4 linked regions of the Elephas maximus indicus genome follow. The protein of the gene in region 1 purifies or fractionates together with the protein of each later gene. This does not show direct contact. Links are inferred from orthologs where the notes say so. Each region holds a gene or a part of one and is shown on either strand. Other genes may lie near its edges.

Region 1 (7,459 bases):
GGGTCGCTGTGAGTCGAAATCGACTCGATGACAACAGGTTTACTATGTGCTAAGCCCTATGCTAGGGGCTAGGGAATGCACATGTTTGATCAAGTTTTATCCCCCAAGTCCTATGAGATGAAGAAACTAATGAACAAAGAGGTTACATAGTTAGTGACAGAGCCAAATTTAAATCCGGGCCATTTGGGTCCAGAATGAGGAGCTCTGAGGCTGGAACTTCCTGTAACAGCCTCCTACTGTGCTTTCTATGTCCCATCCAGATCCTCACCATCCTCTAGGCTATGGCAGAGATACAGGAATGCCCCACTTTTCTAAAGTTCCCTTTATGCCAGTTTGCTTTTATGAAAGACCTACGTTAGTACCTGTTTTCGCTAACCGAAAGAAATCAGAAGAGGATTTTCGCTTTCATGAAAAAAAAAAAAAAAGGCAAAAAGCAGAAATAGCTTTCGGTGTTTGTTTTGCAGCAAACCCTTACAGAGGTAGCGTGTATTCTGAGCAGTGAGAGTGGCGTCACCAACTCCTTCCCTGGGAACTACACTCAGCATCAAGTAGCCATAACCAGGTTACAGGGGCTTCTACCATCACCACCACCACCTCTCAGCCTTCCGGTATGTTCACTGTCTTCCCGATTCTGCTAAGTGAAACTACACCATACATTATTTCTACTTTATACAGGCAGTGTACTTGTCATATCATTCCTGCTTTTACTACATGTTAGTGTTATTTTAGGCTTTATATGTTATTTGGTATGATTTGGTAGGTTATTTTTTGGGTCTGGGAATGTGCAAAAAATTTTCCATAGAAGTTAAAGGTAATTGCTTCTTTGCTTTATGCCATTTTAGCTTACAAAAGGTTTCACAGGAACACTCTTCTTTGGAATAGCAGGGAAAACCTGTATCTTTCTGGGTATGGAAATGTTATCATGACACTGTCCAAATTAACATTAGCAGCTCTGTATCACTGACTGAATAAAGTCCAAATTTTTTAATTTGGTTTACAAAATGCTTCATGTTTCTGTTAAAATCAGTTTACGAAGTATTTGACCGCCCACTGTGAGCAATGCAAAGTGCTAACTGCTCCAAAAAGAGTAACGTACCAGCCAGGGGCTACTACCTGAAACCCAGACACTGTCCTTCAGCCAGACTGACCATATGCAGGCTTCATATAGCAACACCCCAAAGATACAAGTATTTGCAAGTGGCATATATGTTAGTTCCTCTGCCTAGAATATAGTTGGCAAAATCCTAACCCAACCAGACAGAATTTGCTCCCTCTTCTGAGTTTCTGCACCACTATGTTCAAATTACCTTCAGATAACTAATAGAACACTGGTCTGTATCAGCTTCCAAATGAGACTGTGAGCAACTCCAGGGCAAGGCTGCCCCTGGCCATCAACACGTGGCATGCAGTAGTATGCCATCCTTTGATAACTGAAGAAAGAATGAAAAATTTCTAACTTGATGAGAAAAGGAGAGGAATGAGATACAAAATTAGGAATGTGAGCACATCAGTGGGCTGAATTACAAATGGGTTATTCTACTTTGGTTCAGATTTGGCCTACATTTGACCCCTCTGGGAAAATGCACATTTGTGACTTGGACCAACTAAAAAGGCAAAACGTTGTTACTCATGGCTCAACAAAGCTCTGACAAACCAAAGAAGATACCAGATTCCCCTCTTCCTTCTTTACTTGCCAAAGTACATTTTCCAAAGTGGGGGAGGAATGAGGGTTGGAATCAAATCTACCAAAATAAATAAAATTGATCTACTGAGATCCAGCTCCATCAGCACTTAGTCACAGCACATGCAAGAGACAAATGAAAATCTATCCTGGGACGAAGGCCAATTTACATTAAGTACTATTGATGCAAGAATACGGAATTCTTAAAGTGAAGGCAGTGCCAATAATACATAGTTCCCAACTGTTTTCCCCTGCAGAACTGCCACTGCACTTGATCTCACCTCGTCTCTGATCTCTGTGATTTCAAAAGAATAACCTACACAGTGAAGCCCCATACAGGAACTGACTTTAGCTTCTGGAAGATGTGAACATCAGGATGTACAACCTTTAATACAAACTGAAACACCATAAGAAACCCTACATAGAGGTCAAAAGTCCTTGGCTTAAAACGTGGAAAAAAGCTTCGAAAAATGAGTGGTGTATTTCCTAAACCGTGCTTTGCACGCAGCTGCTTCCAAATCAAGATCTGTACTTTGAAATTCCCACCTCGAAGATGGCAAATCGTTCTCCCACCCCCTGCAGCCTAAACCGAAAGGTAAGAAGAGAACAGGCAACAGGCTGGGACAGGGGTATGCGCTCTCCCTGTCTCTCCCTTTCCAGGGGAACCAGATCGGATGCGAAGGCAGCTCGTACCACTCTCATCCTCCCCTATAGCACAGGTACGGGAAATAAAAAGCTCACCCCCACCTCTCCCCTCCCTAAAAAAAGCAAACGACGCCGAGATCAGTAACGCAGCGGCCGAAACCACCCAAGGGGACCAGCCCGGGGCCGCCCGCCGCTCCAGCCGGCACCGCCGCAGGGCATTCGGACTTCCGTCCCGGACAAGCGCGGCCGGCCCCCACGCCGGGTCCGCTCGAGGGGCCGGCAAGTGCGGCCCAGGTCCCCTCCGCTACCGGGCGAGCGAGGGAGCAGACCCGCGGAGGGCGCGGCTCCACCAGGCAGCCAGAGCGCCGCCGGCGAGGGGCGCGCCGGGAGGGGAGGCTGGGCGCCGTTCCCGGTGCGGCGGCTCCCGCAGCTCCCTGCACGCGAGCCTCCCGCCCGCGCCAAGCGCGCTGGCACCTGAGAGAGCGGACGCGGCGGCGGGCAAAGTTACTTACTGGGAAGCACGGCTGTCCGGCGCGCTCAGCTCCCGGCGCCTCAGCCCCGCGCTGGCTCCCGCTCTCCGCAGCCCGCGGAAGGAGCGGGAAGCGAGCCCGGCGCCGCTTCGCCGGGAATCGCCGCCGTGGCCGCTGCCTCCAGCCGCCGCCGCGGATTTCCTGGCAAGAACCAAACTCTGGCCAAGACTTCACTTCTCAACCGCCCCTGCTGTCTTCCCGGGGGCGAGCGCCGGGGCCGAATCGCCCAACCTGACACGCACCGGGGCCAATCCACGGCCGCCCAGGGCGGGGAAGGGGCGGGCCAGACGGCGGCTCCACCTATCCGAGTGCGCCGGGGGCGGGTCAGGAAGGGGCCGTCACTCACGGGTTAGAGTGAGCCCGCTCGCCGCCGTCCCTCCCCCACCGCGTCAGGGTTGTCCCCGCCGCCTGCCTGATTTCCCTGCTAAAGACGCGGTCGGGAAGTGTCTCAGCACGAGTCCCCGATGCCCGAGTGCCGCAAGGAGAATGGGACAGCTGGGGGAGAGATGGAAATATAGGGAAATCTGGAGGGAGGCAAGAACAGGTGGTGCAGGAAAAAGAAATGTAGGTGTGCTGGGAGAGGACAGCTGGGGTGTGGACAGGGCCTGACGGGGGGCAAGGGAGGTGCTGGGAGCGGAAGAGTGGGAAGGGAGAACCGGTTATTGACGAACAAGAGCACCTGAGCGGACGAAGAGACGCGAAACGAAGGAAGAAAGCGGGCGGAGAGCTCCGATTCCGGGTGGTGAAAGGTTGCAGAGGCGGGGGCAGGGCACCTGGGAACAAAGGTGAGAGGGAGGTTCCGCAGGTGAGGTTGTTTAAGGAGCCAAAAGGATAAGGGAGGAAAGAAGCCCAAAGCGGGGATGGACGTATTCTAGGGGTAGAAAGGGGGAAAACCAGTTTTCTTGCAAACTCTCACTCCCCCAAGATAAAGGCAAACGCGTGTCCTTTGGCCTAATCGAGACGTTGTGCAACTGCAAGATCTCCGACGAGACAAATACTGTCTGAAACCATTTTGTTTGAAATTCTTCTCTTTCCACATTACCTCCTTCCTTTCTTAAAAAGTGTATTGATAAACTTAATGCGATCTACAGAGACCTCAGTACCCGCTGAGTGCTCCTAGGGTCGTCCCATGAAAGCCCCTTGAGGGTTGGGGTGCCGGGAGGGGCCAGCCTGGGAGCAACACTATCCTCATGGGTCTAACAGCAAGACAGAAAGAGGCCTGACTCTTAAGAAAGGTGATTAGGGGGCGGCAGGTGAGGCCCCGCCCCCTTGGCCCTCACCTGGGGGAAGGTGCCCAGGGCTGAGCTCCGGCATACACCGGCCTGTATCCGGCCTCACTGTAAGGCCTTCGCCGGACCCCACCTCTCCGCCCCTCCCGCTCTGCGGACAGGCTGCCGGGGGAGCACCAGGTGAGCAGGGCGGGCCTCGCGCCTTCGCCCCCCTCGCGCCGGGGGCGGGGCCGGGGCGGAGCCTCTAAGCTCCGCCCAGCGGCCGGGCCCTGCCGCGCCGAAGCGGCTCCTCCTCTCTCCTTCCGTCTCCCCTCCTTCCGTCGGTCTTTCCTTCCTGCTTCGCCTGCACGTTGCGCGGTATGGGGCAGAGCCTCCGGTCCGCCAGCACCGCCTGAGGAGCCCGGAACCTGCCGCCGCGATGGAGGACGACCAGGAGCTGGAGAGGTAACGGCCCAAGAGGCGGGCGAGCGGGCAGGAGGAGCGGGCTGCGCTCGGGCCGGAGAGCCGGTGGCAGGAGGCGCGCGGCCAGGCCGGGGCCTCGGCCTCCGCGCCCGGCCTGGCAGGATGGGCCTGACCCGGGGCTCCGAGAAGAGAGGAAAGGGGGATAGACGTGGACGCCTGGGTGGAGAGGGGGCCCGCCATGGGGAAGAGAGAGAGGGTGAGAGACATGGATGGCTTGAATGGACACGCTCCGTAGACTGGTAGCTATCAAGGAGGGGAGACAAGTTATGAGACCAGAGCAAAGCCCCCGAGCTGCTCCTCCCGCCTTAGAACAGCAGGAATAAATAAAACTAACGGGTGACATTCCGCACCAGGCCACTGTTCCCGAGTGGATGGTATTGGGGTGTTCGCACAGACCCAAGCAAGTCCTGTGTTTACTGCTCCCGAGCTTCTCTGTGCAGACTGTTAGTAAAGCCACTTCTCTATGTGCTGAGTTCTTTTTCTCCCTCCTGCTTGACTATTCTCAGACCTTCCATTCCTCTAGTTTCCTTACCTCTTGCAAATGGAAGCCATAGCTGGGCCTGCATGTCGATAATCTGTGGACTTAAATCTGACATTTACACTTAAGCAGTATTTTTTTTCCTATCACTTTCGGTGCCCTCTTCATCCTCCAGCAGGGCCCACCCTATTCTAATCTTATCTCTTTCTTGTGACTCTACCAAAATAATATTTTAGCAAACATTTATGCTTGTGCCTTAAGAAGGCTCTCCTTGTGTCCCTATGGAGGGTCAAATGGAGTAGGGAGAAACTGGAGGCAGTAATTTAAATATTGGTTAAATGAATTTGCCGAGGCAGGAAAATAAGAGACAAATAAATAGTTCTGTGTGGTTGGAGTGGATTAGAGTAAAAATGTGTTGTAATTGTGATTGGTAAATGAAAAAAAGCTAGTCATGAAAACTATTCAGTATGATCTCATTTTTATAAAAAATGTGTGTGTAGAAAAACACAAGGATCGAAGACCTCAGTGGCTGAAGGCGAGAGGAAGACTGCCCTGGAAATGGTCCAGGCAGCTGGAACAGATAGACACTGTGTGACATTTGTATTGCACGAAGAGGACCATACCCTAGGAAATTCTCTTCGTTACATGATCATGAAGAACCCAGAAGTGGAATTTTGTGGTTACACTACGACCCATCCTTCAGAGAGCAAAATCAATTTACGCATTCAGACACGAGGTGGTCTTCCAGCCGTTGAGCTGTTTCAGAGAGGCCTGAATGAGCTCATGAGTGTCTGCCAACATGTGCTTGACAAGTTTGAGGCAAGCATAAAGGACTATAAGGACCAAAAAGGCAATCAGAAATGAGTCTACATTCTAGCCCCTTATGCACCATATGACAAGGATACTCTAGGATATTTTCTTCACGATCATGCACAACCCAGAAGTAGAATTGTGTGATTAAAGCATGATCTAGCCTTCAGAAAGGTGTGCTTCTAGCTATTGACCCATTGCAGCTGTTGGATTCCCTGCAAGTATTTTTGTATTCTTTTGAATAAATTCCCTCTTATTTAAACTGGTTTGAGTGGTTTCTGTTATTTGTAGCCAAATGATACCCAAGGATGAATTTTCTTTTTCTTTTAGCTGAGCCAGTACTGATAGTGAGGAAACTATAAGGAAACCAGGCCTTAGACAAGGACTTTGATCATAGGACTTAAAAGGAGTACACATTCATGGCTGTGATTTGGAGGAGGAAGGGCAGTAGAACATAGCCCCAGATAGACTGGTTGATTGAAAAAAAGGAAAGGAAAGGAAAATTTGGTTTCTTGATAGATATATATATATAGATATGTATGTGTGTATATATATATATTTAGAGAATTGCAGCCTTTGCAGTATTGGGCAAGGTTGGGGGATAATTTGAAAGAATTTTATGAGTTTTGCTTTCCCATGAGAGTTTTAGGTGGTGTCAGGCTCCATCTTTGTGGGAGCTCTTATAGAATAGATGCCAGTTTCTTGCTTGAATTTCAGGATACTGATAAAATATTTAGTCAGAAATGCCCTAAGTATAAAAGTGATAGGAGAATTTGGAAATGAATAATGGTGGTGGTTGAACAACAGGATAAACATAAATAATGTCACTGAATTGTACACTGAAGAATGTTGAAAAGGCAAATGTGTTGTTACATATATATTTACCATAAAAAAAAGAAAATGACCTAAGTTGGCCAAAAGGTTTTTATTATATCAAACTAAACTCATTACTGTTTAGTCACCTCCAACTCATAGTGACCCTATAGGACAGAGTAGAAGTACCCCAGAGTTTCCGAGGAGCATCTGGTGGATTCAAACTGCCAACCTTTTGATTAGCAGCTGAACTCAATCACTATGCCACCAGGGTTTCCAAGGAAGAGAAAACTGAAATGTCTAGGTAACCTTTTCAGTTCTTAGATAGGTCTCTAAGAATAACTCAGGTTTACGTAGAAAAAGCATCGTTCAAGAGAAAGTAAGAAGGAAAATTCTGTCTAGGGAAAATAACTTTTCCAGAAAACTTGAAATATTAGTGAATCCCATCCAAAATCTGTCCTGTCTACCTCTTCAGTTTGTCTCTTGTGCCTGTCCCACCCCCGCCCAGCTCGACTCTTCATTGACCCTAAATACATGTCAACCCTTGGACCCAAGCACTCTAGCCTCCATCCCCCCCTCCCCCGCCGCAGTGCTCTTTGGGGCCTTTATGTTGTTCCGCTTCCTGGAACACTTAGTCCCTCCGTACTCTAGGTCAAAACTTACACATCAGACTCCCCATCCTAGTTTGGGTGCTTAAGTGCTTTCATTACACCCTATGTTTCCTTGTCTTAATGTTTATTGTGCTACTGTTAGTGCTTTTATTTGTCTGTCTTCCTGGTATACTAACTCGTGATCACATTGCCTGGCGTAA
Region 2 (7,927 bases), on another chromosome or scaffold:
CAGGCGCTCCTTGGAAACCATATGGGGCAGTTCCACTCTGTCCTATAGGGTTGCTATGAGTCAAAATCGACTCGATGGCCATGGGTTTGGTTTGGTCTGTTGGCTTATGTGTTGCCTGTCTTATGCACGAGAATGTAAGTTCCACGAGGGCCTCGCAGTGCTTCGGTTTCCTCAAATATAACTTCACTGAGTTATTGCTGGGTTTTTTGTTTGTTGTTGTTGCTTCCTCCCTTCCCCCAATTCACTGCTATTCTCCTAGTACTTAGAACAGTGCCTGGCATAGAGTAGACATTCAATATAGTACAAAGAATAACCGAGTGAGCTGAACGCATGAAAGCAAGCAGCCACAGACTGTCAACCCAGTGAGCCTAACTAGGCCCCATCCAGAAATGGCAGCCTCATGGTTTGGGCATCATGGGCACTTGAGTACAGACAGGTGAACTGAACTGCAGTAGAGCACACAGGTTCAAATCCCACCTCTGATGCTTACTAGCAGTAGGAGGGAGGTAGGATTTCCAGCCACCACAAGCCAAGCTCTCACAGAAGCAGTAAATCTGTGACCACCTCGGGTTCAGTGGGGTGTCCTGTGGCCACAAGGGCACTCTCTGGCAGCGGCTCCATGGGCTTGGGCAAAGGAAACTAGAATAGCCTCTGACCCCAACAGGGAGCTACTCAACAAATGCAAAAGGGACCAGGACAACCAGGTGAAGCTAAGGAGGGCCCTAGAGCAGAGGAGGTACTTGAAGGCTATGGCGGGGTACACCCACACTGCACCCAGGAATCTAACCTGTCAGTCAATCAGAAAAGCAGAGGAAACTCCAAATAATCACTAGCTGATGGATGAAGGGAGTAGGGGTGGTGGTGACAAAATATAATGGAGTTAACCCTTTGGTGACCCAGTTACTTTCTGCTTTGAATTTTTTGTTAATACCCTGCGTTTTCATTGATGGAAACATGCTGTATCATTGAGTGTATCTGAATTTTTGGTCAGTAGTATGGATTTTTTTTTTTCTTGCCCCGTCCCACAAGCCTGCCCTAAGTGTTTAGTGGTACATATAAAGTACACTAGTTATACCCCAGAGTCCCCACTGGGGCCTACTGGTACATATGTGTAACAAATAAAATTTTTCAAAGTTTCTCTTTTTTCTACCCAAAACTTAGACACCTCATTCAATACCCTGTAAAAACAGTAATGTGCAGCACACACCCATTTCTTCAATTTCAAGCAGTCATAAAGGTCCCTGCCTTGTGACAGCACACACTATCAATAATACAGCAGGTTCCCAATAAACCCCAGAAGCTGCAAATGTTGATGGTCACTATATGTAGCATTGGGCACATAAGGGTTAAGGGGAAAGGGCCCCAGGGCCAGTAGACACAATGCCTGGCTTCTTACCAGCTTCTAACTGGCTGTGTATCCTTTGACAAGGTATCTCCCCTCTCTGAGTTACCTAGGTTTCCACCTCTGTAAAAGATGAGTTGGCCTGGCCTAGGTAGAAGGAGTAATTAACCCAGCGTTTATCAGGTGCCAGGCCCTTCTCTAAGGACTTTACATATATTCTCATTTAATCTTCTCAACAAACCTGTGAGTCAAGACTTAACATTCACATTTAAGAAGGAATATTGAAGTTCAGAGACTAATTTCCCCAAGGTCACGGTTGCAGAGAGCAGCACAGCCAGAATAGGAAACTAGCTGATGTCAAAGCTTCTTATTCTTAACCACTATGCTAGACATTACTCCAACAATAGGAAGTATAGCGTTGTGGGTAAGAGCCTGGACTCTCAACCTGGATCTACGTAAGTTCAAATCCCACCTCTGCTCGTTGCCAGCCGGTGTCATTCTGTGAACGGTCTAATTTGGCTTTCCCTCGCTATTTTCAGACCGAAGATGGGGATAATAAAAGTGCCTTCCTCCAGAGGGCTGCAGTGAGGAATAAGTAAGGTAATAAATGTAACCTCTGGAAAGGTTTGTTATTATTTGGCAACATGTTTTCTCCCAATGTCAGAGGGTCTGATACTTAGCCACAAATCAAGTCCTGCATACAGAAGGTTTACCTGTCTTACCCTATTTAGTCCTCACAACCCTAGGAGGTAGAAATTTCTATGATGCCCATTTCACGGACAAGGAAACCGTGGAGGTTGCTAAGATCTCTTCTTCCTGCCCCCAAACCCAATTCTAAAACTAACAGGCCACAACGACCTTGTTTATTTACTGGTTTACTTGTGCTTCCTGTCACCTACTTTGATCAAATGGTCAGGGTCGTATCTGCAGCATAGTTGGCTCTCAATAAATAACCCAAAAACCCAGTGCCGTCGAGAAGCCTGAATAAATGGATGAAGAATTCCGGGCCTGGTTCGGCAGCGGTTAATCTGTTTCAGGTGCGAGGAAGGGGCCCGGGAAGGCTCGGGGTACCCTCTCACGCATCCATCAGGGCCGGCCGCCCGGTCCCGAGACACACTGTCCAATGGGTGTCGCCTCCCTCATGGGTAGGCAAGTCCCCTTCTCACGCCCCCCAAGTAGCCATTGCTTCTAGCCGACAAGCCGGCCGGACACCGGCTCCCTGCGGACGGGGGCTCCTGGAGGAAACCGGCCCGACCCGGGCGGAGTAAGGCAACTGGTCCCTGAGTCACCGCCGACAGTCTCGGCATTGGTCTCCCCTACTCCCGGGCCGCGCCGAGGGGTCGGAGCCCGCGGCTGGCCTTGGTTTCTGGGGCAGGCTGTCGGTCCTCGTCGCCCGGGTCGCGAAAGGACCCCGACCCTGGGCATGGCATGGCACTGCCCGGGCCTCCTCGGCCTACTCCGGAGCTCAGGCCAGGCCTACCTCGAGAGTGCACCCGGTTCAAGCCCAGGTCCGGGTGCAGCAAACTCAGGACTCACCTCTCCGCGGGGGCCGCACGCGGACGGCGGCAACGGCCCAGGTACCCGCGGGCTGCAGAGGCGGTGGCTACCCGGCTCTCTATCAGGCAGCAGCCATGTTGCTGATGGAGAAACTCCGGCGGACACGTGGGGGGAGCTGGGCGGACTCCGCGCTTCCTCTTACCCACAATGCCCCGCCCCGATGCGCGCAGACCCGCCCCTCCGCCGCTCCATTCATACGGAAGGTGGCGCTGACGCGTGCGCAAAACGAAGCCGTGTGCTAAAGGAACAAAAGACTCAGCTGGCAGCGGTGGGATTCGAACCCACGCCCCCGAAGAGACTGGAGCCTTAATCCAGCGCCTTAGACCGCTCGGCCACGCTACCTAGATAGCGTGTGGTGTCTCCGGAATACTACTTATTATGTTCGAATGTGTTTTGTGTTCTCGAAATCGTTACATATTTTTATATTTTCATTTAATATGCGTTGTATCTGAGCCCAATATAATTATTTACAACATGCTACGTCTTTTTAAAAAAAATATTTGCTCTGGTATTTAGACCTGTACTTGTTCCAAATAGGTTTTAGGGCGGAAAAGAGTTTAAGGGTCTACATGCTCAGCTAACTCGGACGGGGAACCTAGGCGTAACCCGCACGACGCTAGTTACGTGTCTCGGAAGAAAAGGTACTCCTGGCAGTAACCCGAACTGGAGGCTCTAATGGGCAAACCAGGGGACGTGGTCTGGGCGGTTGTTCCTGAAAAATTTTGTATTTTAATTTTTAATTACACAAATAGTACGTGAATTATCGCAAAATATTAAACCTTTGTACATAAGGTTTAAATGCCCTTTGACTTTTGACCCCCATCCTAATCCCCTCTGCTGAAGTAATTATTATTATTAAATATATATCCTTCCATTTCGTTTTCTGTTAATTTATATGGCTATATATATATCCATTCATATGGAAATTTACATATACATATCTATAAAATTTCATACACAATAAAAACAAAACTATTTTATATATACATAAACACATAAATAAGTATATATATCCATAGAAAATAGCTTTGCTTTTATTGCGCATGAAATTTTACATAAATAGTATTCGAATTGATCTGCAATTGGCTTTTTTTAAAACCAGACTATGCATTTTTAAATATCTATCTATTGTTGGTGCATATAGATATTTCAGAATACAAAAAGAGTAAAAGAAAAAATAATCAACCATATTTCCATACAACCACCTGGAAGTAGTTACTGTTAATATTGTGGTATTTTTTCTTTCCAAATCTTTTTCTACATATATGCTTTTGGTTAAATGTTACAGGTAATGATACGAATATGTTGTCTCTTAAAAATTCATGCAAAAATATATTAGACCATTACCAATAAACATAAAGCCCCCCTTGACCTCCACTTCATCCCAAACTTCCTCCCCTGCCCCCAGCTCTATCTCTTATCATGAATTTCATCGTATCCTTTCAGTCCATCTTAATCTTATACTTTTATGAGTATATAAAATTATATATACATGGAAACCCTGGTGGTGGAGTGGTTAAGAGGTATGGCTGCTAACCAAAAAGTTGGTGGTTTGAATCCACCAGATGTGCCTTGGAAACCCTATGGGGCAGTTCTATACATCACTATGAGTTGGAATTGACTCAATGGCAATGGGTTTTTATATATACAAAAGCTCCATGGACAATATACAGTGTGGTTTTCCATGGACAGTATATAGTATGATTTTCTGTATGTTTTCATTTTCATAAATGGCACCACATTGTACCAGTATCATTCTGCAACTTGCTTTTCTTACTCCAACATTATGTTTTTGAGGTCTATTATTATCCATATAGATTTAATTCATTCCAAGCTATGAATATGGACATTTAAATTGTTCCTAAATTTTCACATCACATACAATACCACAGTAAAGTTTCTTGCACATGGCTTCTTGTGTATGTGGGTGGGTTTCTTCCAGAGTATATAGTACCAGAAATGGAATTGCAGGATCATATGCATATTTTCCATTGTGTTAGATATTATCAAATTATATGACCTTCAATGATTTTTTCTCCATTTCTTTCCAGATTTTCTACCTTATCCTGAGTCATTTTTTGGTAAGTTTCCTGGAAAACAAAGCGTTCCACTTGATTTTTCACATTTATTGGTGTACAAAATCTGAAATTTCTCTCATATCTGAGTTTTGCCCCCTTTACTATTCCCTACTCTATACATTCCCTCTACCATTGGTGGCTCTTCCTTCCCCCATTAATTAGTTCAGCTTGCTCCTTCTCCAGCCTTGGTGGCAGACACATGTAGTGATAGGAAGAATGGGCTAAGGACAGCACAGTTGTGGCAATGATATTAGAGGTTTTGAGTTCGGCCTCTCTTCTCTGCCCCAGCCTGGATTCAGTCTGAGATCTATGAGACTTCAAAGCCCTGTACACTTTCCAGAACCTGCTCCTAGGTCTGTAGAAATCAGAATCCATCCTTGATGGTGAAAGTCACGATATACGCCTTCTACCACTCCCACCCCCCATTGCAATGCTGATATATGAATCTTGCCATTGACAGACAAAAAAAAACAACATTGCCATGGATTCTAACTCAAAGTGACCCTATAGGACAGAGTAGAACCGTTTAGGGTTTCCAAGGCTGTAACCTTTACAGAAGCAGATCACCAATCAACAGGTCTTTTCTGCTTTGGAACAGGGCTAGGTGGGTTTGAATCGCCCACCTTTCTGTTAGCAGCCAAGCGCTTAACCACGGCACTGCCATTGGCAGGGGACCACATTTAAGAGCACAGGCTCTAGAGTCAGACTGCCTGGGTGTGAGTCCTGGCTCTTCCACTTATTTGATGCATGATTTGGGGCAAGTTCATTTCTTCATTCATCCCATATTCGTTGAATTCCTACTATATTTGAGGTGTGTTCTGGGCTCTAGGTATACAACAGAAAACAAATAAAGCCCCTGTCTCATGAAGATTGCATTCTAGTGGAGAAACTGACAGCACACCAGTAAACTAAAAAAAGATAAATCAAATTATGATAAGTGCTATGAAGCAAAAAAGTATTATGATGGTGGAGTGATTGGGGTGGGAACTGTTTTTGAAGGGGTAGTCGTGGAAGGTCTCTCTGAAGAGGTGGCAGTCAACAGAGTCCTGAATTTTGAGAAGGTGCCAGCTTTGGGAAGAGCGTAGCATTCCAGACAAAGGAAACAGTGAGCACAAATTCTTTAACCTCTCCAAGAGGCATGTAAATGAACTAAATGTAAATGGATTAAATATTCCAAACAAAAGGCAAAACTGGCAGAATGGATAACAACAAAACAAACAAGATCCCACTATATGCTGTCTATAAGAGACACACATTTCAGATTCAAAGGCACAAATAGCTTAAAAGGACAGAAAAAGATGTATCAATCAAACCATAAGCAAAAAAGCTGTAGTGGCTATACTAGAAAATGTCAGGCAAAATCAGATTTTAACACAAAATTGTTACCAGAAACAAAGAAGGACCTTTTGTAATGGCCACCCAGAGTCACCTCAAAAGAAAGGCCTTGCAATCTGCTTCTGAAAAATTAACCACTGAAATCGAGCACAATTCTACCTGATACACATGGGGTAACTGTCAGTTGGAATTGATTCGACAGCAATTAGTTAAATTAGTAAGAAGGCAGGAGACCCCAAACAGCCACGACCACCTGTCTCAACACAATAAGTCAAGTCAATGTTTAGCCCAGTACTCACCGGGTAAATTAGGCAGCAATTCCAAGCAGGCCAAGGCTGGCGATGCCTTGGACACATCCCTAGAAAGTCATATAAATCACACTTTTGTAAATAGAATTCCAGTTCTGTGTTGACTATGTTAGACTTCTCAGGGCCATGATCCTGTTGGCCGCGACCACCACCACCATTTGTCACCAAGTTAATTCTGACTCATGGTAACCCCATGAGTGTCAGAGTATAGCTGTGCTCCATAGGGTTTTAAATGTTTGATTTTTTTTTTTTGGAAGAAGATTGCCACGAACACTCCTAACATTTGGGTATTTGATATCTCTCCTCTTCCAGTCTTCCTTAGCCTGGTTTTTATTTCTGTATTTACCTTTAACATAAGTAATGGCATGCAAACATTTCATTGTGCTGGGACAGCTTGTTGCTTTTGAAGGAATTAATAGAAAAAAAAAGTACAGAAGCAACCATCGATGGAGGACACAGCCAAGGCATTGTGACTGGTACAAAGCTAAATGAGAAATAGTCCTTGAAGTCAATAGAAGCATTGATCTAGTCATGGTATTTTAGGACTGGATCCTCTCAGTGCAAGACTATTGCTGGAATCTGCCCAATTACCACTTTTCTAGGAATTGCCCGACCAGCCCAGAGAGTGGATGTCAGCTGAGCGTGCTTGCCCCCACAGCCATAGCAAGAGGGTTGTGTGGTGGTTATTAGGACTCAGGTTGGACCAATCACATTTTCTTCTGAGAATCTGAACTGAGACATTGTGAGTTGTTGATTTATTAACTTGAAGGTGTTAAGTGTTGGAGTTAGCCTCTGAGACTGGTTGTAACTAGGAAGAAGGGGAGGTTTGGGGTGGCCATATTTTGTGGTGGAACCCTGGTGGCACAGTGGTTAAGAGTTCAGCTGCTAATCAAAAGGATGGCAGTTCGAATCTACCAGCTGTTCCCTGGAAACCCTGTGGGGCAGTTCTACTCTGTCCGATGTGGTCATTATGAGTCAAGTTGACTAGATGGCAACAGGTTTGGTTTTGGGGATTTTTTAAATATTCTGTGACATAGGTTGGAGAAGTAGAGAAAAAGTCAGTGCATTGAAAAAGAGAAAATGATAAAGTGAGAAGAGCAAAGAGTCAGAGAAATCCTGATGGTTTTCTGGTTCCAGCTCAAGATTCTTCCCAAAGTCCAGTGGGATTCCCACCCTTGGAGGCATCCCTATTCATCCCTGTTCCCCTTTCCTGAGAAAGCTAGTGCTACCTGGTATCTGTCAATTGTAATAAAAGGATCCTCCTTGCATGGGGCCAAAACTTTAGCAGCTGGTAAGAGCTCAAGTGA
Region 3 (7,646 bases), on another chromosome or scaffold:
TAAGTTCCCAAGTCAAATTTTCAAACAAACATTTTGTAAAAATTCTGCCCATATTCCATGGTTTTGTATACTCAAGCTTTAACTGGAATTTCCTCACTGGCAATGGGTTTGGTTTACCTTACTAATCTAGAGGAGACCCCCCATAGATTTTTGCATTTTGGATCACTGGCTAAATAGAGCTCCCTCCACCCTGCCTCAACCCTGCCTCAACCCGGTTATGTATGCATATATATGTGTATGTGTGTGTATATATATATATGTATATATGGTGTATGTGTTTTAATGATTGTTAAACAATAAAGTGGTATACCACAATTCCCTCGTCAGCTACCTCACCATTAATTCTTTCCTTCCTCTGATCGAATCTGTCATTTTGAAATCCTGCCTGTGGTAATTCTGGAATCTTTGCTCTCAGTAGGTGTGTGGTACTTTTCACTCTTCCACCCATCTACAAAGCAGCCAATTCTGAGAGCTTTCACAAACTTGCTCTGACTGACAAAGATGTGCTTTAAAAGGGGAACAACATGGCGCTGGGTGTTTTTGTTTAACATGGTACAACCAAACCCATTGCCATACAGTTGATTCTCACTAATAGCGACCCTATAGAACAGAGTAGAACTGCCCCACAGGGTCTCTAAGGAGCGGCAGGTGGATTCAAACTGCTGACCTTTTGCTTAGCAGCCAAGCTCTTAAGCACTGCCACCACCAGGGCTCCATATTGTACAACAGTGGTTCCCAAACCCTAAATGCACAGGAGTCACCTGTGCAATCTTGTTAAAGTGCAGATTAATTCTGCGTTTCTAACAAGCTTCCAGGTGATGCAAATGCTGCTGGTCTATGAGCCACACTTTGAGTAGCAAGGCCATAGACCGCGACCCTATATAAGGAGAGGCCAGGGCACTTCTCTCAAGAATGACATTTGACTTTGTGTAGCCACTCCCGCCTCTTTGTCATCCCATAACTATGATTTAACTGTTCATGTGGTCATTCAACCCATCAACACTTACAGAGAATCTGCTATCTGCAAACCCTCTGCCAATTCATTTCAACCAACATCTTTGAGTTCCGGTCCTTGTGTGAGGCTCTCAGGATTAATCACGATTAAGACCCTTTCCTTTCTGTCACACATTCAACATTAACTGAGGGTCTACTCTGTGCCAGGCACTGGTCCAGGAGCTGCAGCTACAGCAGCGAACAAACAGGCATAAATCTTTTTATTGCTTAACCCCCAAATTATTTTTATTGTTTTAGTATTTATTGTTAACCCCAAATAAATTTAGCGAGGGAACAATCAGGTGGGAAACAGGCAAATAATTAGAACTAAGCTTATTTTTTCCTCTTCTTCCCTCACTGCGCCCCCCCCCCCCCCAATAAATCTAAAAGCCATCAAGAGGAGTCAAGCAAAGGTAGATTTCCACTCAGAGCAGAAGGAGAGCCTGCAGTGGTCTAGAACAGGGGTGCTGGAGCCTAAGGAGTGTGAAAAGGCATCCATGTGGAAGGGTGGCCAGGTAAAGAGTGTCTGAGCCCAGCTAGGTGTCTCAGTTATCTAGTGTTACTATGAAAGAAATACGACAAGTGGATGGCTTTAACAAACAGAAATCTATTCTCTCATAGTTTAGGAGGCTAGAAGTCTGAATTCAGGGTGCCAGCTCCAAGGGAAGGCTTTCTCTCTCTGTTGGCTCTGGGTGAAGGTCCTTGTCATCAATCTTCCCGTGAGTCTAGTACCTTCTCAGCACAGGGACCCCAGGTCCGAAGGATGTACTCCACTCCAGGCTCTTCTTTCTTGGTGGTTTCTTGCTCATTTCTCTCTTTTGTATCTCATAAGAGATTGACTCAAGATACAAACTAATCCTGTAGATTGTATCCTGCCTAATTAACATAACTGCTTTTAATCCTGCCTCATTATCATAGAGGTTAGGATTATCAACACATAGGTTAATTATATCAGATCACAAAACAAAGGACAACCTCACAATACTGGAAATCATGGCCTAGCCAAGTTGACGCACATTTTTGGGGGACACAATTCAATCTGTGGCACTGGGCAGGGGTGCAGCTTGGCTGGGGTTATCAGAGTCTGAGCAAAGTGAAGAGGGGATTCATGCAGGTGGTGGAATGGCGTTGGTAATGGCCCAGTACAGGGTGTTAGAGCCTGAATGAAGTAAGAAGGGCATCCATGTCAGGTGGTGGTGGTGGTCATGGTGGTGGCAGGAGATGATTACTTACAGAGGATTGATCAAATAAGTGAATGTATTAAGGCTAACTGGAACCAGGTTTCTCAGCGTGAGAGAAAAAAACAAAAACAAAAAACCATTGCCGTCAGGTCGATTGCGACTCATAGTGAACCTATAGGACAGAGTAGAACTGCCCATAGAGTTTCCAAGGAGCACCTGGTGAATTTGAATGGCTGACCTTTTGGTTAGCAGCTGTAGCTCTTAACCACTATGCCAAGGGAGTTACAAATATGAGACGAAAGAAAACTAGAATGAACCCTTGTGGTGTTGGATTAGAATCAGAGGTCAGTGTGAACTCATGATTTTCAGTATATATATACAGATCTAGAAATAAATACAGTTGTAAGCATTAATACATGTATTTCCTAATTTGGCCAACCAAGAGGGCCTGGGAGCAGTGGCATGCCAAAAGCAAAATATATCTAACACACAGATCTTTGTTTCTAAATTCTATTTCTCAGCAAAAATGTCTTAGAGAAATTTCTTACGGCAAAAATTTCTTAGAGAAATAGCTGATTGCAGGGTTGGGGCAGGGAAAGTACAAGATGAACTGGGATACTTTGTTGTGCCAGGAGGTAGGGATATGCTCTAAAACTGATGGGGCATGTCAAAAGGACACAGCAGGCAACTCGAAGGGATTTCCAATGGCACGATCTGGAAACATTTCAACACAGAAACAAATAATGATAACAGCAGATTTTAATCTACTGAATAAGATAGGAACCAACAAGTCCAAACTGACATAAATTAATAAACTGAAAATGTGATGAATGAGACACTTGCATAGTCAGTCTCTAAGTACCTTCCACAAAATACTAACTACAAAGGGACAAAGAATAACTTCGTGGTGGAGATGTCTGGTTGACACTACCTTAATCAAGTGATCAAAGTTAGTATCACTAGTAATGGAGTAAATCGAAATTATGTGCCACCTGATAGAATACAAGAAGAACACAAATAGTTCTGCCAAAGATGTATAATCTGAAACTAATCATTTGGAAACATTAGATCATTTAGAAACCCAGAGGGAAGTTTTACAAATCACTGGCCTGTGATCATTAAAATGGTCAAAGTTATGAAAGTCAAAGAAAGACTGAGCAACTGTTTCAGATTATAAGAGACTAAAGAGCTATAACAACTAAATGCACCACGTGATTGTGGACAGGATCCTTTCCCTACGAACAAAGTTAGTGCGACCAATGGTTAATTTACATGGAGTGTGAGGATTACATGGAAGTAATGCATCCATGTTAATTGTCTGGTTTTGATGACTGCATTGTATTTAGGGAATGTGTTTGTCAGTAGGAAATACTATACAGTCTTCAGAGGCAATGGAATTCAGGTTGGCAGCTTACTCTAAAATGATCAGGGCAAAAAAAAAAAATTACTCATACTTGCTCGCAATATTTCTGTAAATTTGCGATTGGGTCATTATAAAAATGTGGCAACTGCTCAGGTAAAGGGAAGCTGAAGTGCTAGGTTTTTTTTGGAGGAGATTGGGTGTCTGTGTAGGGGGTGACAGGGGTGCTAGGGACGGCTTCTTAAGGCTGAAACCTGAACATAGTCTTGAAAGAAGGCGCTTTGGAGAACCGAGAAGAGCCAATCCGAGTTCTTGCCCTTCAACAGTACCGTCTTTTGACTGGCAAGAGGAACCCCTGGCCTGGGTCCATGCTTTAGAGGCCCTGCTCTGGTAACTTCCCTCGGGGAGCGGGGTGGAATCCTCAGGGCCAAGGGGACATGCCCATCAGGTCCACCTCCCCTCTTAGGACACAACCAAGAATTCCCTGCCCAAAAGCTCTGAGCCTGTTCGCATTTCCCCCTGATCCTAGTGTATGCTCTCCTAGCTCATGGGGGAGGTGCTGGCGGGGTTGTGGACGCAGCTTGGACTAAAGGACTGGGAGCCCACATGTGTAGATGGCAACTCTTAGAGAGTGGGTAGCTCTCCGCCAGCTGCCACATTTAGTTGTAGCTGGAGGAGGTCCAGTAGGAGAATCCTAAGTTTGAACCTAGTTTTTCAGGTCTCAGGAAGATATATTTGTCAATGTAGAAGAAATAGATCATACTTTATCCAGACCATGCTGAGCAGCTGGAAACCAAACACGAAGCACAGACTGAAGCTGCAGACGTTTGGGCGCCCTCAGCCCTAGTCCCACAAAACCAGTATAGTGCAGGGGTACGGTGTGCCGGAGACCACACCTGTCAGCGCCGAGCTGCTGCGCTGAGTGGCCGGGGCAGCACGCCGAGCTGCTGCGCTGAGTGGCCGGGGCAGCGCGCCGACACGCTCCGGGGAGGAGCGTGCAGGGGGGAGGGCGATGTCAGGAGGGGGCGGAAACACGCGTCTCCGAGCGCGCGGGGCGGTGCCTCACGAGGCCACGCCCTTCCGGTTCGGCGCACTAGGCGGGATACCACGTGTGACCTAATGCACCCGGTAGTCCAGGCTAGTTCAGCTTCGAGTTGTGGCCGCTAGAGGGGCGAGATGGCGGCGGAGGTGTTGCCGAGTGCGAGGTGGCTGTACTGTGGGGAGCCCGACGGTAGCCAGAGAGCTGTACTCGGTAAAGACTGCGGAGCTGGAGCGGAGTTCCCTTTATCCCACTTCCGTCTCTTGGTACCTCTCCAGTCTCCCGCGCCCCGCCTGGCCCCCCTCCCACCTGGGCCAGTATCCCTCTAGTCTCTACTCATTGGGGCTCATTCAGGGCTTCAACGTCATCCTGCCACCCTGTCACCACTCCCAGCTGGATGGGGACATCCCTGCCACACCCTCCCCAGGGCCGTGCCCAGGACCCTTTAGTCCCCTCATCCACCATCTCTCCTATCTGCCCCATTTCCCTCTCTCCTCTGGGTAGAGAGCCCCTTTGTTTTTCTAGAACTGGACCAGACCTCCTCTGTAACCTCTATCCTCCCAGTCATTCCCTCCTGTCACAGGCTCTCCCGGGGGCTCCTCTCACCTGTTCATCCCTTCTCAACTGGGTCAGGACTTCCTTCCCCATCTCCATTCTTCGAATCACTTCCAGTGACTCCCCGTTTCCTCTTCACATACACTGTGGGTCCCCTTCTCATTCTGCTCTTGGCTGCAACCTTACAGTCCAGTTCTCCAATGGAAAGCTGCAGAATCCAGGCAACATGCACTTTACCTTGTACAAGAATAAAGACTCCACAAACCCCAGGAAGAGGAGTCAGCGAATCTTAGTAAGTCATGGTTGCCAATTACCTCCACTCTGCAGACCTCAGGAGGTCCCTTGGGTGTGGGTGGCTGTGAAGGGAGTGAGGGAGGAAAAAAGGGGGGCAGCAAATGGGCCTTTAAAGAACTATTCCTCCCCCCGCCCCACAGCTGGTGTGGGGCAGGCTTGGCCATCCAGGTTTGGAACTTTTGGAGAAGTGATGACGGTTAATTCATTTGTTAATTCAACAAGCATTTACTGAGCACCTGCCGTGGCCCTGTGCTGTAACCTGTTGGGGGTAAAGCCAAACTAGACCTGGTGCCGCTCTGAGGGAGCTCATACTCTAGAACAGGGTTTCTCAACTGCAGCACTATTGACATTTGGGGCCAGATAATCCTTTGTTGTGGGCAGCTGTCCTGTGCATCACAGGATATTTAGCAGCATTCCTGGTCTCTACCCACTAGATGCCAGTAATACTCTTCCCCGCCCCCAACCCCCAGTTGTGACAATCAAAAATGTCAAACATTGCCAAATGTCCCACTGGGGTGGGGGACAAAATTGTCCTGGGTTGAGAGCCTCTGCTCTGGAGGGAGAGGTGAGAATTGGATGTGAGGGACACTCATACAAGTAGACAAAGCTCAAGGCCTAAGGGAGAGAGTACAGGGCAGAGTGAGCTCAGAAAGGGGAGAACTCTCTGCTTGCCAGAATGCCTTTTTGGAAGAGGGTTCACTGGAGCTGAGCCCTGAAGGATGGGGGTAGGAGAGACTGTCAGGTGAGATTTGATATTCCAGGTGAAGAGGATAGCAAGAACTAGTGCTTGACTGTGATTGGGGTGTGAATTAACCATTTCCGTGGTCCTAAGAGTACGTAAAGAGTAGTCATGGTAGAAGTGAACAAAAAGGATAAAAGAGAATTTGGATTCCAGGCCAAGGAGGTTGCCTGCAGAATCACCTTGTTGCATGCCTATGTATATGTGTTGGGAGCCCAGGGCCTTTCCCCCAAGTCCTGTGGTGCACCTCGGCCAGGAACCTTTAATATGGTTAGAACTCAGCACCTTCTGGGGCTTACCTTTCAAAAGTCCTCTTGCCCTTTCCCCAGGGGTACCCCAGATTCACTTAGAGATAGTGGGGCTGTACCACCTCCCAGTGGCTCTCTAGTTCTAATCCACTGTGGTTCTGCATTCTAAAGCTTTTGCAAATGTATAAAAAGGAGACAAGATACTTAGTACCTTTTGACATTAAGTGGAGCTTTTTTCCCTTCTATATTTTAGGCAGCTGAAACAGACAGACTTTCCTATGTGGGGAACAATTTTGGGACCGGAGCCCTCAAATGCAACACTTTGTGCAGGTAGTGATGGGGACGGGCAGCATTAAAGGTAATGGGGAGGGTAGAGGTGGTGCCACTGGCATTTTTGTTATCAGTCTTTATCATAGGGGCAGTGGGAGAACGTAGGGAGGTTAACAAGTCCCTGTGTTCCTGGACCCAGGGATCCTCATACCAGCCTGTTAATATTCCTGAAAAAGAGAGATGACTTCTATTTGTTAAAAATTCTTAAACCGTGTTAATTTGTAATATTCTTTATATCTGTCTTATTCCAATTGACAGCTGTCTCTACAAATTTGGAATGTGTGATTAGTAGACCAGACCTTGCCTGAAGTTTGCCTTGGAACTAACTACAAGAAAAGGATTTAGTAGTGTTGAAGGCTCTGGGCTGGGAAGGAGGGGCCCAGGGTTTCCATCTAGCTCCGTGGTAGTTGACTGAGCGACACTGGAGAACTCTGCCTTTCACTGACCCTTGTCCTCCCTCTCTGTACAGTGAAGATTGTCCAGCTGAAACAGGCTACAATTCTCAGGGGCTGGCATAATGCAGATGGGGTCCCTGTGATGCTACCCAACCCATAAAAAAACCTGTTGCCGTCGAGTCGATTCCTATTCATAGCGACCCTATAGAACAGTAGGACTGCCCCATAGAGTTTCCAAGGAGCGCCTATTGGATTTCAACTGCCAGCCTTTTGGTTAGCATCTATAGTTCTTAACCACTACGCCTCCAGGGTTTCCTTACAGTGAACCACAAACAAGGCCCTGTCTGAACTCCCACTAGACCACATCCTGATACAAGTCAGATTAATGCACATATGCTTAAAAGTATTAACACGCTGCATCCCCTCACAAAGATTCTCTAATTCAGAGTGGTCTTCTCCCCATAATCAGTATGGTTTTACTCATATGTGCCTCCGTAAAATTTATACATGCA
Region 4 (7,530 bases), on another chromosome or scaffold:
TTTTCATAGGAAGAAATAAGTAAAATTAAAACATAATGTCATTCCATTATGCTAAAAAGTCATTTAATCACTGTTATTGACTTACTTAGAAACTGCAATAGCTTTAACTTGTATTTTTCCATCAGGCAAAGTAATAGGTTTTGTATACTTATATGTATTATTTTCACCGTAACCGATTCTCTTTAGAAATTCAGGTTTGCTGCCATCCAGGGTATAATATATGTTGACATCTGGGGTGTCTGAAAAATATAAAACAGGATAACTGTAATTGGTTCAAAAGTAGCCAGTCCCTGAGGTATGCCTATACGTCAGTTATTTATGGAAAATTTATACATCTATTATTTATATTATAAAAATGAGTAACAATAATTAAATTCTTCCTCTATTCCATGCATTGTACTTTGTTATGTTTTATTTGGACTTGGTAAATGATTCCTACATTTTTTGGGGAAAAATTTTAAAGATAATAAATTCATATGATTCAAATGATATCTTGAGTATCCCCAAGTGCGCATCAGTATATATGTACATATTCTTACTTCTCACTCTCTTTTTACACCAATTGTGGCACACCACATCCTGTTCCACACACTTCATTTTTCATTTTAGATTATACCTTGGATATTGTTCTATATGGGCACATAAAGGGCCTCCTCATGCTTTTGTATGGCTGCACCATATTCTCTTGTATGAAAGAACTATAAATTAATCAACCCTCATTTAGGCTTTCTTTTTCTTTTCTTTCTTCTGGCCATTACAAGAATTATAACGAATATCCTTGTAAAGAGCTCCTTTTGTAAGCACAGCTGTAAAACAAATATGCGGAAGTAGTACTGCAGGGTCCAAAGATATGTGCATTTGCAACTTTGATTAATATCACCAAACTGCCCTCCACTGAGGAGGAAACAATTACATTCCCACGGGAAATGCATGGAAGTGCCTGCTTACCCACAGTCCACCCAAATAGTGTTATCGATTTTTCTTTTTACCAATCTCCTAGGCAAACAACAAAAAGTAGTATCTTGTAGTTTTAACTCACAATTCTCGTATATTGAGTAAGATTCATTCATTCATTCAACAAATATTTGCTGAGTACCTAGTATGTGCCAGGCACCGTTCTAGGAGAGACACACAAACAATAAACCAACAAACAATGCATACTGTCAGGCGGTGAATAAATGCTATGAAGGAAGGTAAGGGGGACAAGGTCTACTCAGAAAGCAGGTGAAGAGATGTGTAGAAGTATCTTTTCATATGCTTAAGAGGCACCTATATGTTCTTTCCTATAAAATGTCTTTTCACATCCTTTGCCCATTTTCCTATTGGGTTATTCTTCTTTTTGTTATTGAATTGTGGAAATGTTTTGTTTATTAGAACTTTTCAATATTAGAACATTTGGATACCTTATCATTCTTATCATCATTTATCAACAACCACTCCACTTCTCCTAAGACTTACATGCATATATATTGAAGTTTTATTTTTGCTTGAGAATTTTAAAAAATCACATTAGCCTTTGAAATAAAGCCGGACATAGTATAATGTAGCATATTGTTAACTGCAACTCTAGGTCTAGGAAGCACAGGGCTTATAACATAAATACAGATAAAAAGTTTTTATATGTTTCAGCTATTAAAATATACAGTTGGAATTTCGAAGACTTTTTAATAAGGGCATTCGTCCACGTTTTATCTATAAAACTTTCCCTTTTCCTTATGTTAATTGTTTGTGTGTGCGTGTGCAGAAAGAGCCTGAAGACTAAATATTACCAGGAAATATATTTGCCACTTTATTTCTATAATAATATTTAAGATTTATTTTGGCATCACTACGTGCCAGGCCTTGTGCATCTCACGTATATTTCAACTCATTTAATCTTCACAGCAGCTCTAACTGGTAGATGTCATTATCCATATCTTACAGGGAAGAAGCTGAGACTGAGAATGGCTAAGTAATGTGTCTAAGGTCATTAGAAACTGTCATGCCAGGGGTCAGTCCCCAACATGTCTAAATTGCAAGCAGGTCAAATTTATTATTCTAGCAAAATAATGGGCATCCTGGGAAAGTTTGGGGTTCGACTGGGACATCTTACCTTAGCTGAGGTAAGCTGAGGCATAGCTGCAACATGTACTTACCCCAAAGAAAGGTTGGTCAAAGCCAACTATTTTAATCTAAGTATACATGACTCTATTAGCTATCAAAATATCACACTGTTCCAAATTTTGGAAGATTTACAAATTTCCCAAGGTACTGACTATAGAGAGCATGCAAAGAAGTAAGTGAAGAACCAGGTAAGTGTAAAGAGTATGACAATGTTATTTTAAATGATTTCAAATACATTTGATTCCTACCCGATTTCATTTCCAAAAGTGTATTGTTATCAATTTCATGTTTGGCTTTTCCGGGCGGAGGCACTCGCAGTGGTATGATCTGAGGGACACACACTGAACCAGCAGTCATTTTTTTCCTTACTTTAAAAAAAGAAAGTGGATAAAAGTAAATTCCAACGTGTATCTATATTTGAACAAAAAAGTGGAAGAAAAGCACTTCATTTAGAGTGCAGCATAACTAGTAACAAAAAAAAAAAAGAGAGAGAGAGAGAGAGAAACAGAGACTACTGTTAATACAAATATTGAACCAGTTGCCATCAGGTCAATTCCAAACCATGGGGACCCAGTGTGTGTCAGGGTAGAACTGTGCTCTACAGAGTTTTCAGAAGTAGACCACCAGGCCCTTCTTTGTCGAACCACCAGTCTTCAGTTAGCAGCTGAGGGATTTAACCATGTCTCTCCTACAAATATTAGTCAATTTTCAATTGAAGTAGTTATTACGCTTCAGCTGTATTTTTGCTGTTGAAGTCTTGTGTGGAGCTTTGATTATCTGAACACTCACCTCACTTCTGGGAAAAGAACACGAATCAACAGGACCGAGGGATGCGCAAATTAAAGGAATCAGGCAGAACAGAGACCATCACTAATGATCTGCCCTGAGTTCCCACTTGATCATCATCACCTGTTCCAGCCTCCTGTAAGTGTACAACCTCTCTCAGCTTTGGGACGAGTCATCACAGCAGAGGAACAGAAATTAAATCTGTATGTAGCACGAAATGTTAATTTAGAACCAACTCCTTGGGAAAAGCCAGGTCTTTAGCGCTACAGTTGTCACCACAGTGGTTCTTGCACTTCAAAGCTGTAAGGAAACTTTAGAAGGACTGTAGAGTATAAGCTGAAAGGAACTTGGCATGGATATTAACGGTTACCAACAAACACAATCTTCCATTCCGTCTATTGTACTAGCTACAAATATGGAAGCCTTACTGATCTTTTTCCTAGGGGAAAGTGTCATAATTTTTAAAAAATGAGGTTTCAGAAGATAAAACCAATCTCCATATCACAGCAACCATCTACAGCTATGCAATGCCTTCTGAAAATTCAATGATTGTGGCTACATCCAGATTACTTGATTATAATTTATATATTCGATTATAATCTATATATTCATTCAATTTTTACAGCCCACTTCTTGCACCCTCAGTTGATTATTCAGTTTTCTGTGTCCTTATGTAAACTTATTTATCAATTTGTGGTTAGGCATTTAGGCTATTTTTAGTTGCTTTTTACTTCTGGTGGTTGCGGAAGCTGCTCTGAATATCTTTGTAGCCCAAGTTTTGACACAGGCTCTATTACCAAAAGTGGGATAAATAAATTTAAGGGTGAACTTAATGCTCCAGGTTGGAGGCCAAGAATTTAAACCGCAGATATTGACAGCAGAGTAATAGTCCCTACAGAAGTGCTGCAGGGCTTGCGGGGCTTGCCCATCACCATATTTCCATTCAAGTAAGATGCAGTTAAAATAAAAATAGTTGAGAAATCAGTTCAAAATACAACTAGTTCGAGAGGAAGTCATTCGCGTGCCGCCACAGCAGCTGCCCTTGGGAGGCTGGGGCGCCCAGCAGGCCCCACGTGAAAGAGACCCAAAAGGACGCCGACCAGCGAAACCCAAACAGCAGCGCTGAGTCAACAGCACCCAACACCCAACTCCCTCGCCGCCCGGATCCAGTACCCTGCAAGGTCCCCGCCCCCGTCCGTCAGCTGCAGCCGAGGACGCCCGCATCCTTTCGGCGGGAGTGAGGAAGGTCCTCCTGCTCCTCCTCCTCCTCGGGCCACCCAGCCCCCGTTCGGGCCCCACCGAGGGACCTCCACCGCCCCCAGCCCGTCTCTGCTCTCTCACCTCCTCGCTCCCGCTCCGCGGCGGCGACCCGGGTTACCACCGACGCCGCAAGCCGCGCCCCGCCCACTGAGAGCGAGGCAGGTGATTGGCGGAAAGCTCGCTCCCTAGTAACCAGCTCCGCCCCCGCAGCGGGGCCTCCACGGGGTGCGCCCCTCCCGCGCCTTTGCCGGGGCTTTACTTAGGCGTCCGGGTATATGCCTTCACGGAGGCTGGAAAGTGCTAAAAGCTGATGTCGCCACGTAGAATGGAGGAACCAGTCTCGTTCGTCCGACAGGCATGACCATTCGGTAAAGCAAGCAGAGCGTAACAAACGTAGAGGCGCCGGCGAGCGAGGCGGCGCAGGCGTGACTTGGCCGCCTAAAGCCGACCGACGAGCAAGGACTGGCTGCGACACGAGGAAGAAGGCCCCTTGTCCCCCGGCGGGGAGCTGTCCACCGTCGGTCCCCGGGTTCGTGGGCGTTTTCTTCGGCGACTCAGTGCTCGTCTTCCCCGCACGGGCCCGGATCTGCTCCCTCATGGCTGAGGTGAAGGTGAAGGTGCAGCCGCCCGACGCGGATCCGGTCGAAATAGAAAACAGGTAAAGCAAGTCTAGGTTCCGGGATCCATGAGCACACGTGAAGGGGCTTGCGGGGGTCTGGACCCTCCCCTCCCGCCCCGGATACCAGAACTCTTAAGTTCAAAACGAGCTTGACAGCTTGCAACTCTGTGTAGCTGACTTTGCCCTGATGCTGTTTGCGAAGTTGGGATGATGCCTTCCTTCCTACGTTACGGTGATCAGTGCCAGAAAGGACACCCTCTGGGTTCGGCTGTAATGCTTGGGGATACGTGCACCGATCCAGGATCTGTCTTGTCACTAAGGGAACTCCCGGAGCAGAACGTTCGAGCGCAGCGAGGGCTGCACTTTGTGATTACTTCGGTGCGTTATTGAACTTAAGATCTCAGGACACCTAAAGTCTGTCCTAGTTTTACATTCTCTGGCAGCGCACTGCTGTTTTTAGATTTTATAGTTTCATAAGACCCTCAACTTTCCCAAACGGTTATATATAACACAGATGTGATGAGCCTGTGATGAAGTTAAGATTTGGGTTTACGTTTGTTTGGTAAGGATAATCCCCCAAATAGTTCACAGTTATGGTACGATGCCATAACAAGTTTTGGCTTCCCACCACAAGTGTCTGGAGTTGCCTTCTCTTTACAGGCTTATGGCTATCGAATGCACTACAACTTAATTTTGTCACAGTTATTCCATCTGAGAAAATTGAAGCCTCAGCTTTTTTTTCCCCCCGTGTTTTCATTTAACTTTCATTCTATTTTAAAGTTGAAATAAGTGAGGGAAAGAAGTACTCCCCTTAAACAACAACAATAATGTAAATGTGTATTTAGAAAGCATGTGTCTGAATTTCTTACATGATTTGATTTGGAATCATTATAGAAACAGATTATCTGCCAAAAGTGGGAAAAAAAAAAGGACAATTTCAAACCATCCTGCTTGTATTTCCCCTCCTGCCTCTTGAAACAGGCAAACATGCATAATATCATTAACGCCTTTGTTCCTAGGATTATAGAGTTATGTCACCAGTTCCCTCATGGAATCACAGACCAAGTAATTCAGAATGAAATGCCTCATATAGAAGCCCAGCAGCGGGCAGTGGCCATCAATAGACTGTTGTCCATGGTAAGATGAATTCAAACTCATGCATGTAATTACTTACCTGTCATGGTTGTCAATACTTCCTGTTATGTAGCCATAAAATCAGAAGGTGTGTTCGGTTGTAACTGATACAACTACAAACCGTAAAACAGCACAGGCTACCTAAAGTGAGGGAAGAAGAAATTATAGGTTATTTTTTGGGGAGGGGTTACAAGAGGAATGAAAATAAGTAGTACTTTGTTATTTTTTTTTTAACTATTGTATTTTTTAATCTAATCGTCACTAAGGTACATAAGGACGTGAAAGCATAATAGTCTGTGCTCACCTTCTGTCTGCTTCTTACTCCTATTGTTGGGCCCTTCCTTCCAGCTTTCACAGAGCCAGTTCATCAGGGTATCAATCTTACCCTGGGCATTTCAGGAAACAGAAATGAGCCCAGTTGCATCTCAGTAGTCTTGAGCCTTTGGAAAGAAGTGCTGCCTCAGGCTCCAGTGAGGTAGCAGAGGGTTGTTTCAGTAAAGCCCTTCTCCCTGCCCTTACCTCTTTTTCTGTCCTCCTTAAGAACCTGGGACCCTAATGCTGCTCTCCTCCAACTGTCCAGAATCACCCCACCTACTAGTACCCAGTGCTCTAAGTCTACCTGTTTCTTCTCCCATTTTTCTATCATCAAAACTCCCATTTCCTGCGAGCATTTTTATTGGATTTTTAAGGACTGTGGATATGGAGACAGGTGAGCCTTCTGTTAAATCAGTCCCTTCAACCTTCTACTTCAAGGGTGGACAAACTTTTTCTGTAAAGTGCCAGACAGTAAATATTTTAAACTCTGTGGGCCGTGTGGTTTCTGTCACAACTACTGATTCTATGGTTTTAGCAAGTAGCCATGGATAAATCATAAACAAATGCATATGGCAGTATCCCAGTTAAACTGTAATTACAAGTTCTAGCCCAAGGGAAGAGGAATGTTGGTATTTTTAGTCAATTCTCCATGAAGGTCTTCAGCTCCAGGAAAGGTAGAGGGAGAGCTTCTGGGAGGTTGTGGCAGTGGATGGGGGCTGCAGAGATGGCGAAAGACAGGAAGGTGCTAAGGATCATTCTCAGGAAGGAAAGAGCTGAGAGGGTGATCAAAGGACAAAAAGAACATTTCCCACTGCCACAACCTCCTCTAATTTCACAAGGGGGAAGGAGAATCAAGGTGTTGAGCCCAAGGCTGATTCTTATGAGGCAGAGGTCAGACATGTCTTCTGTCTCTGCCATCTTTGCCAATTGTGATACCAACTGTCCCTCCCACAGCACTTTTTACTTCTCTGCTGAGTTCAACAATTCATTGCGGTGGCCCACAGAACTCACAGATAATACTCAAAATTATGGGGTTTATTAAGGAAGTAACAGGTTACAATTCAGGTTCAGGAATGCTCAGAATACAGTTCTTTCATCAGGACAACGTTTTCTTAGCCATGCCCACAGGCACGCCTCTCTCTGGCCCCTCGGCCTCTGTTCTGCTCAGGCAAATGTTACAAAGCTCTTTTAGCTCTGCAGATAAGTGCACAAAGGCACCGCACTCTACCAGTAAGCCTCGGTCCAAAATCACTAGCTTCACTAAGTACCCAGAGGCACTCAGCTTTCTTGCTCCATGAGCTAGGAAGCCCACC

Evidence for each region.
Region 2: the proteins of protein POLR1D-like (region 1) and POLR3E purify together in Homo sapiens (affinity purification with mass spectrometry; 3 studies listed by BioGRID and IntAct, with this or other methods). This does not show direct contact. The link is inferred for Elephas maximus indicus from reciprocal best matches to the Homo sapiens genes POLR1D and POLR3E.
Region 3: the proteins of protein POLR1D-like (region 1) and POLR1E purify together in Homo sapiens (affinity purification with mass spectrometry; 3 studies listed by BioGRID and IntAct, with this or other methods). This does not show direct contact. The link is inferred for Elephas maximus indicus from reciprocal best matches to the Homo sapiens genes POLR1D and POLR1E.
Region 4: the proteins of protein POLR1D-like (region 1) and POLR3F purify together in Homo sapiens (affinity purification with mass spectrometry; 3 studies listed by BioGRID and IntAct, with this or other methods). This does not show direct contact. The link is inferred for Elephas maximus indicus from reciprocal best matches to the Homo sapiens genes POLR1D and POLR3F.

Annotation. Positions count from the first base shown.
Region 1 is NC_064841.1:59,713,442-59,720,900, forward strand, and holds the start of protein POLR1D-like, read left to right. Parts: upstream 1-4,444; 5' UTR 4,445-4,503; coding exon 4,504-4,529; intron 4,530-5,525; coding exon of another isoform or gene 5,526-5,889; exon of another isoform or gene 5,890-7,459. Other genes in the region: POLR1D (DNA-directed RNA polymerases I and III subunit RPAC2), read left to right, coding at 4,504-4,529, 5,526-5,889.
Region 2 is NC_064830.1:82,340,921-82,348,847, reverse strand, and holds the start of POLR3E (DNA-directed RNA polymerase III subunit RPC5), read right to left. Parts: upstream 3,017-7,927; 5' UTR 2,879-3,016; intron 1-2,878. UniProt on the Homo sapiens protein: DNA-dependent RNA polymerase catalyzes the transcription of DNA into RNA using the four ribonucleoside triphosphates as substrates.
Region 3 is NC_064827.1:46,343,664-46,351,309, forward strand, and holds the start of POLR1E (DNA-directed RNA polymerase I subunit RPA49), read left to right. Parts: upstream 1-4,628; 5' UTR 4,629-4,710; coding exon 4,711-4,786; intron 4,787-5,316; coding exon 5,317-5,420; intron 5,421-6,662; coding exon 6,663-6,739; intron 6,740-7,646. UniProt on the Homo sapiens protein: Component of RNA polymerase I (Pol I), a DNA-dependent RNA polymerase which synthesizes ribosomal RNA precursors using the four ribonucleoside triphosphates as substrates.
Region 4 is NC_064843.1:59,142,030-59,149,559, forward strand, and holds the start of POLR3F (DNA-directed RNA polymerase III subunit RPC6), read left to right. Parts: upstream 1-4,518; 5' UTR 4,519-4,745; coding exon 4,746-4,807; exon of another isoform or gene 4,808-5,146; intron 5,147-5,787; coding exon 5,788-5,905; intron 5,906-7,530. Other genes in the region: DZANK1 (double zinc ribbon and ankyrin repeat-containing protein 1), read right to left, coding at 86-239, 2,352-2,460. UniProt on the Homo sapiens protein: DNA-dependent RNA polymerase catalyzes the transcription of DNA into RNA using the four ribonucleoside triphosphates as substrates.